Linked DNA regions of Nothobranchius furzeri. The protein of the gene in region 1 purifies or fractionates together with the protein of each later gene. This does not show direct contact. Links are inferred from orthologs where the notes say so. Each region holds a gene or a part of one and is shown in the gene's direction. Other genes may lie near its edges.

What was found. The genes of interacting proteins can lie anywhere in the genome.
Region 2: the proteins of bcl7a (region 1) and smarcd1 purify together in Homo sapiens (affinity purification with mass spectrometry; 5 studies listed by BioGRID and IntAct, counting the BioPlex papers as one, with this or other methods). This does not show direct contact. The link is inferred for Nothobranchius furzeri from reciprocal best matches to the Homo sapiens genes BCL7A and SMARCD1.

What each region holds. Positions count from the first base shown.
Region 1 is NC_091746.1:40,383,752-40,387,973, forward strand, and holds the start of bcl7a (B-cell CLL/lymphoma 7 protein family member A), read left to right. Parts: upstream 1-1,353; 5' UTR 1,354-1,449; coding exon 1,450-1,541; intron 1,542-4,222.
Region 2 is NC_091743.1:58,867,489-58,871,677, reverse strand, and holds the start of smarcd1 (SWI/SNF-related matrix-associated actin-dependent regulator of chromatin subfamily D member 1), read left to right. Parts: upstream 1-1,299; 5' UTR 1,300-1,342; coding exon 1,343-1,528; intron 1,529-4,189. UniProt on the Homo sapiens protein: Involved in transcriptional activation and repression of select genes by chromatin remodeling (alteration of DNA-nucleosome topology).

The sequences.
Region 1 (4,222 bases):
AGTATGTGCAGCAGAGCCAATCAGTGAGCTTGTAGGCGGGTCTAAGGGAAAATGGGCTCAGAATGGGCTTCAGCTTGAAGCGGCTGCCTCCGCATGGTCCTAGTGCCTGATATGTATCACAGTATAACAGTTTTGAACAGTAAAATCTGGCGAAAGAGCGGAAAAAGGATACTTAGGGTACTTCGGACAAAAGGGGCAGGTGCTCAAGCACCCTCCGGCCCACCCCCTCTACACGTGCCTGCTGCACATAAAATAAATCAAATTAAAGAAGGTACAAAAACTCACAAAAGATAAGTCAATCAAAGAAACAACATTTCGAAAAAGAGAAAAGCTGCCATTAGAATATACCTACAGAAAAAAACAAGCAGGAATTTAAATTAGCGAAACATTTTAAAACACCACGCAAAGCTTGTGCATTTTCCTGTTTTATATTTATTTGTCCCACTCCGGTCAAATAAATTCGTTTTTTGTTTGTTTTTATTCTCCATAAAAGCTGGCACCACTAGAGGGCAACATAGTCTTTTTTTAATCAATTTGACAGTAGAACGAGCTCATGCAGCCCTTAGATTTTCTCAAGACAAGTTGAATTATTTTTTCAAACTTTGCCACAGTGAATGATAAAATGAAACTAAGATCTAAGTTTTCTGATTTATTTAATAATCTCTGACATAAATTATGTATAAACATTTTAAAGGGGAAACACTAGGATGTAAAAACAAGCCTACTTTAAACAGACAGGATGATCCAAAGTGTAAAGATTTCTCAAACATGAGATACACAACAAGAATGAAGCCAATACTGAAAAAAACATCTTATTGATGACAACATTAAAACATGGCACAAGGAGACTAGAAAACTCTGTAAAGCTTAAAAACACAAATGCAAAAAATTTTCATTAAATAACTATGACACACAAAGGAGCCCAAATGCATTTAGTACATTAAAAAAATCCAAATCTGTTGGTTTGAATGCTAGGTTATTGCGATTCCAAGAAAAATATTGAAAATACAAAACACAGAGGCACAGAGAACAAACACAAAGAGGTAGTCACCATGGACAGAATACTTTATTCCTTTTTTTATTCTCGTTGTATCTGGTAGTGTGGGGCCTAACAGGAAACTAATGAAATTCAAGATTCCCCAAAACCCCTTTAAGCTGTGAAGATGCTCTGAAGGGTGAGAGTGGAGGGTTATTTCCTTTCTCTCCTTCTCTTCCAGATATGTGAGGCAGAATACGAGGCAGCGCGCTGCCTTTGTTCTGCTGCTGTCTCAGCAGGGAAACACATCTCTGTTCAGAGTGCAGCTGCAGCCGGCCTCTTTTCTCTCTCTCTCCCCCTCCTCCCCCGGTTCCACCAGGCCGCGCTTGCGCACTGGCTCCTCTGTGCGCTCTACTGTTTGCATTGTGTCTGAACTGCCGGCGAGCTTTAAAAATATTATACCCACCGCGGCAATGTCGGGCAGGTCGGTCCGAGCTGAGACACGGAGCAGGGCGAAAGATGACATCAAGAGGGTTATGGCCGCTATTGAGAAAGTACGAAAATGGTAAGAGAAAGAGGATGAAAGACTCTGCTTCGTTATCTAACAGGAGAAAGGCTTGCTTGTTGGGGGAGGAGAGGGAAAGAACGAGACGGAAAGAGGGATGAAATAGAGAGATAAAGGGTAGTTTTTGAACGGGCTTTTCGGCAGATGTACCGGCGGCTCAGGTGCACCGGAGCCGCCTCGGCAGGCTGTAGCCTCCCCACCGGTCGCCCTCTCCGCTCGCGCGGGGACACACTACATGTAGCCGGTGATTTTCCGTTGGTTTTAACGGCAAAGGGTTGAACCCAGAAGCCATTTCGATGCAGTCACATGAAGCCATTGCTGCCTGCCACCGAGCTGCTCGCGCAGGCGGCGGTTTTCGGAGCGCAACGACCGAAGAGTCTGGACCTGGAAACAATTTGACGACGGCGCTCTGGAGTTGGAGCAGTTTTGTCCGTCTGGAGTTTTAAATTAAGCGCTTTGAGTCGCCCTTTAGGTCTGATAGAGAACTAGGCTCGGTGGGGGTTGGGAGAGGGAAGTAGCTGCTGGGCTCTGAACACGTCAGTCTGCTCGCCTTTTTACACCTAAATCACATTTTGTTCACATCAAACCTCCAGATAACACGCGTTAGTTTCCAGGATGAGAGTTTTATCAGTTTGGAGTCGCGACTCTGCCTGCTTGGTGATTAACCAAAAGTCCACACAAAGCCAGAAAGTTAGATTGTCGCATAACTTTTTTCATATTTTCACTTTTAACATGATGAAGATCAACACAAAAGACACAAGTTTATACCTTTATATTGTTTTATTTTATCAGGCTTTTTGATGTTATTTATAAACATTTTCGTTTGGTTGATCTAAAGAGTGACTTTGTTCAGTTAAACAGTTATCCACGGAAGTAATGCACATTGAATTTTATTTTTATTTTAAACATTAAATGGTAATTTTGTTGAATTGTATTTTTTTTTCGCCCATTCTTATCTGAAGCAGACTTAATTGATAGTTCATTATTAGTTAATGGATACTAACTTTGCAAATGTTAAAAATTTCACTTTTTACATTAATTTATTTTGCAATAAAGGTAAACAGAAGTTGGAACAGGGATGTCCAAACTGTCCTTTCTGCCCACAAACATTCTTTTATTAATCAATTTATGTTAAATATGATGCAGTTATTAAATGTTTTTTTCATTCTCACTCAAAATAGGCCAAATACTCAAAAAAAAAAAAAAGAACTTAATGTGAACAGCGTGCTGGAGATAAAATTCCAACATTCTAGAATTGCATATTAGGGCCACACAAAATCAGTGTGAGGGCCACAAATGCCCCCTGTGGCTCTGGACCCATTCTACTGTGCTGTGGTCTATCGTCCACCTGGTCCAAACAGTTCTTTCCTTCAGGAGTTTAGTGACTTTCTATCCTCCACTGTGAAGCTGTCCAGACTGGTGATTGTTGGTAACTTTAACATACACGTTGATGATCCCTTTGATCACTTTGCCATGAATTTCGCCAGCCTCATGGACTCCTTTAGCTTTACCCAGCATGTTTCTGGCCCCACACACACCTGGGGACACACTCTGGACCTTGTTTTTATCCTGTAGCCGGTGTTTGTCTGAGGACGTTTATATTTCTGATCACTATTGCATTTTCTTTAACTTGTCCGTTTCTGCGTCCCCACCTCCTGCTCGCCATCTGGTTAGTTCTCGTTTTCTTAATGAGAGCACAGCTAGCAATTTTTCTGCTGCTTTTGATCCACCCTGTTCTTCTGATAATGACCCAGATTCCTGAACTTCTCAGTTTAACGAGCACTGCCTCTCCATTCTGGACAATATCTGTCCTGTCAGAACCAGATCAGTTCCTGCAGTGAACCCTACTCCCTGGTTTAATGACAGCCTTCGCAGCCTAAAGCGCCAATGCAGAAAAACTGAGCGCTTGTGGAAGAAAACCCATCTCCACGTCCATCTGCTGCACCTAAAGGATCTTCTGACATCCTTTAACTCTGCAGTCAGAGACGCTAGGGTTTCCTATTTTTCCCACCTGGTGTCCCAGAGCAAAAGGGAACCCCAAGGTGCTGTTTAACACCATCAGCAGCATTGTCTGTCCTGCCGGTGTCGGTACAAGATCTGCTCGGGTGCAAAATTGGCTCGGGGTCCGTCGACTGCCGATGACGTCTAAGTAGTTGATTGGCTGAACATGAACCTTACGGAATTACGCAATCATGTTATGTTGGTCCAGGCAAATCTTTCTGTTGGAAAGGTGGACAACTTTTACAAAGAAATCCATCATTACCTCTTTGAAAATACACTCTAGAGCTGCATGTATATTAGGGCTGAACGATTAACTGCATGTGCAATTAAATTGCGATGTGACAAAAGGAGATTTTCTAATCGCAAAGGCTGCAATTTGGCAGCGAGTGGTTAACGCAATGCTAATATACATGGAAAAACCCATAGGAATGCTAATGCTAATATCGCCGATTACATTATTACAAATTATGAATTAGAAACGTGCCAAATGATTACATTTGGAGTCTAATAGAAAGTAAAACTACCATCAATCAAATAAGTACAGACAGGTATTTTAGTAAAGCCAGAAAACTTTTAACTCCAGAGTTTTGGCTAGCATCTATGAGCGTAACTATACGCATGGACAAGACGTCAAAAACTCTAAACACAAAATACTTCAATAAACAGGACACACTTCTTTC
Region 2 (4,189 bases), on another chromosome or scaffold:
GTGTTTAAGTAATGACCATTTTTTCAATTAGTTGTTATTAAACACATTTAGAAGCCTGTAGGATAAGCCTGTTCGTGCACCAAGGTATAAAGCCCAAAATGAAAATTATAATTACAGTGTAGATGCTTTTAGATGTCCAAAAACACATGCCCCCCCCCCCCCCCCCCCCCGGGCAGCCAGCAATCTGTTTCTGATCCAACACAAAGAGATTATGCAAACAAATGGTGCCCCATGTTTTGTGCTGCCGATTCTCCATACTGAACAGAGAAAGTGTAACATCATCAAAAGTTGGGGGAAAAAATACATAAACTGTTGTGAATTTTTGCAGGACCGTAGCTCAAAACATTTAAAACTTTGCTCATCTTAGGATCTCTGCATCTGCATACAATCAACAAGCATTCAAAGAGGATCATGAGTCAACTGAAAAACCTCATGGAGGCACCGCAGATTCAGATCACCTCTCAGACACGGAAGCAGTTGGCTCACTAATTTATGTTCCCCTGCTGTGATGAAAGGAGATGTGGTGTATAATTTGTGTGATGTTCCTAAACAGAGGGAGATGGTGCGACTTGCAGTTCATGAACTTCTGATAAAAATTAAAAAAGAACTAATTACTGCAGTCTGTAATGTTTTGATATTTTTCACATTTCAGCATGTATTTTCTCGTTGAATAAAAGTTACGCATCTGCTGATGCTCATGTGTTGCATGTCAAAGTGATTAATTTGTAAATTAATGCAGCTTATTTCAGTTTTATGAGACAAATGGGACAAAATCACTCAAAATACCATTCTTATCTGTGCTTTTCTTCTACTTTAAAGTAAAATCTCTTTTCTTACGGTATTTTCAGTAAAAGTTCCAGAATATGTTGTTTTGGTTTAAAAATATTCTGCAGACTTTGTAGATGTCATAGATGTTACAGATATGTGAGCGAAGTTAGAATGGGTTTTTATTAAATTTTTGGTCTTGCAGGAAGCAATTGAAATGATGCTAAATTTGTATAGTGGACACTTTTTTCAGAGCTCCAGAAACAACATTTGGATCAATTGAACACACCAATTAAAATACAAAAACAATAAAAATAAGTTTTTAGTATGCTTAAAAATGCAAAATTAAGCATGTAGTTGTTTTCTGCACCACTTTGGGCTACAACGCTTCTAATTTATTTATTTATCAGGCTTCATGGATGGTTGAAAGACTATCATCAGCATCTCAATAGAAAAGCTAATTTATTTGTTACCAGATGTGAGCAGCAGATAGCGCTGTTTCATCTCCAACTCTCCCCATTGAGCTTGTTCTCGCGTTAGCTTCGTGCTTCCACCGGCGGCGACACTCAGAGAGGAGATGGCGGCCAGAGGGGGGTTTCAATCTGCTCCGACGGGTGGTGGCGGTGGAGCAATGGGCCCTGGACCGCCAGCAACCGGTGCAGGACCAGGTATGGGCCCCGGTACTCCCTCTGGAAGAATGGGGCCTTCGTCAGCCGCGCAGAACCACATGTACCGCTCTCCGATGCCCGGGCCTGGGTATCCGGTGAGTTCTCGTTCCATGTTTGCTGCTGACGCGTTAGCTTGTTCGCTAGAACAAAGCCCCTCATCGCTCCTTTGTTGCTACTGGCCAACGTTGTTTCTGTTTCTCCATGAGGACCAAAGCTGTGACTAACTCTCAGGCTGGTTGAATAGAGTCAGTCTATCCCAAAACTTATTTTAGCCACTTCCCTTGAGTTACCATCGGTGTGTTTGAATTTGCTAACCCATCCCGCCCGCAAACGTTAAAGTTTTAGTAAGCAGCTAGTTAGCTCATCATGCTAACGTTGCTAATTTGCTCTGTAGTTTGAATAAAAGCACTCCGAGAGGGCTCGAGTAGTGTAGGAAAATTCACAAAAAGTGAGTTTGTTACGTTTGAAAGTCCCAATTCGATTAGGTTTGGGATTTTCTATTTATTAGATGTCTTAAAATCAAAAGTCTGCTTTTGAATGAAAAGTTTACACTGATAAGAAACCATCAGTTTTCCAGACGGAAAAAACTAAATAAGAATAAAGCCTCAAATTCCGTTTTAATGCGTGAAGTTTGTGCTTTTGATCTAATAATATACTGGAAATAATTTGTCACTGATGGATTTTGTACTTTAAAAATATTCTAGTTAAACTTTCAAGCCTCACCTTTATTCTAAATTCTGATTTTCAGATCAGACTAGTGCTACTTAATCATGAGTTAAAGAACAAAAGTTTTCCAGATGTACTATAGTTACAATAAAACTAAAATAATAGTTTAGTCCCGCGATCAAGAAAGTCAAAATATTTCCACCAAAGGACACAAGCCAGCTGAGCAAAGTTTTTCTTTAAATGACAAAGGTAATGTTTTGTGTGTTTGTGCAGACTGATGTTTCAATTTAACTTTTAATATGCAGATGTCTGTTGAAACTACTATCTGATAGGTTTAACTCATGTAATTGGAGTATCAGTTAAAGGTTTTGATCATTCATTTAATCAACTAGCTCAACCTCCTGAGCTACTGTTGCAACAACGAATTGGGGAAAAAAATTGATTAAGAAATGCATTAGCAATGCAGTTCATCATCACTTTGTTGTGTTGTGCAGCTTTTTTAATTTATTTTTTTCATGTAGTGCAACCTTTTTTTTAACAGTCAACGTGTGTGCAGCTTATGGGGGGGGGGGGGGAATTTATGTAACTCTTCTGTTTAGATGTAATAAAAGCTTGAAATTATGAATGATTGGGGGCGTGTCCTTTTGATGGACAAGTAGCAGAGGGCTAGGGGTGGTCGGCGCTAGGGGCTTCCCTCCTGCTTGCTCCAGGGAAAGCTTCAGTCTGCCTTACCTTAACCCTCCCACTGTCCTAATGGGTGTGACCCCATGAGGAAAGTTGACCATTGAGCAGGGTTGATGGTTTATCCCTTGGGTCCATGTGGCATGGGCGACTAGTGACCACCACCTCACCACTGCCACGTGGACTTCAAGGGATAAACAATCAATTCTGCTCAACGGTCAACTTTCCTCGTGGGGTCACCCATTAAGACAGTGGGAGGGTTAAAAGTGTTAGCTTGTCCTGCCAGGGTTGGTCGATTTGTCATGATGACATCAACAAACAAAATAGTCATCAATAAACTTAATAGTCTACGTTGTTTATTCTACGCATTGTTTTAATCTTACCTGCTTCAGCAGTACCACTGCTGCTTGCGGTCTTTCTGTTCGAGGCACGTGCGCAGTAGCGGCCATTCGGGTGAGCCATTGCATCACCGGAAAAACAAGACATGGCGACCTGCAATGTAGCACAAAGTTTGAAAGCATTTTACAAAAATAAGCATGTACAGTGCAAAGTCTGCAAAGTAGGACTTCTTTCACAAGAAGATAATGCTGATGAACGAACGCCTTAAAAGGAAGCACGTCGTGGCAGAGAACAAAGGGGGACAGTCGCCTCTTTAAGCTAATTGCCCCTCGTTAGCTGCTAACATCATCAGGGACAGTGTTTCCCCTAGGAATTTTTCCAGCTGTGGTGGAGGTGGTGTTGGCGGGGGGGGGGGGGGACTATGACACGTCTCACCTTTATGTTAATATTGTTTTATTTGATGCACTCCACTTTGAACTGCACCAGTCCAGCGACTGCTGCAGTGTAATAACTAGTATTAAAGGTGAATACACCAATATTTGCACAAGAATAATTTCTGTTTTAAACTCTCAGTGACACACTTTGCAGGGTGGATTTGGCATTTAATTTTTCTTGGCGTCTGGAAAAACATCTTCTTTTTCCCCCTTTATTTGACTTTCTGCCCCCTTTATTTTGGTCCAAGACCATTACTGGGCTGGCCCTCTTAAACGCGTTCTACACCCCTGCTTAGTAGAATTAATGAAGTATTTTTAAGCCAGTATAAAAATGACTGAAACACAAATTTACATATTTGGCATTATTGACCAATATTTTTGATTTAATTTATTTGTTAAGAACATCAAGATGCATTACAGTGAACATTATAATAAGCTGGGCGGACACTGTGCGACTTTTTCACTCGTAACACAGCTTCAGCTCAAACTGTACGACTTCAGCGCAGGGCAGATCTCACGAGTCATGTGCTCACTGTACATCTGGTAGCAACACATCGGACCTAAAATATGCTAAAAATAGCAGTTTTTACACAACACGTCAGACTTTTTTGTCTTGTTTTGCCTGTTGTCCTTCAG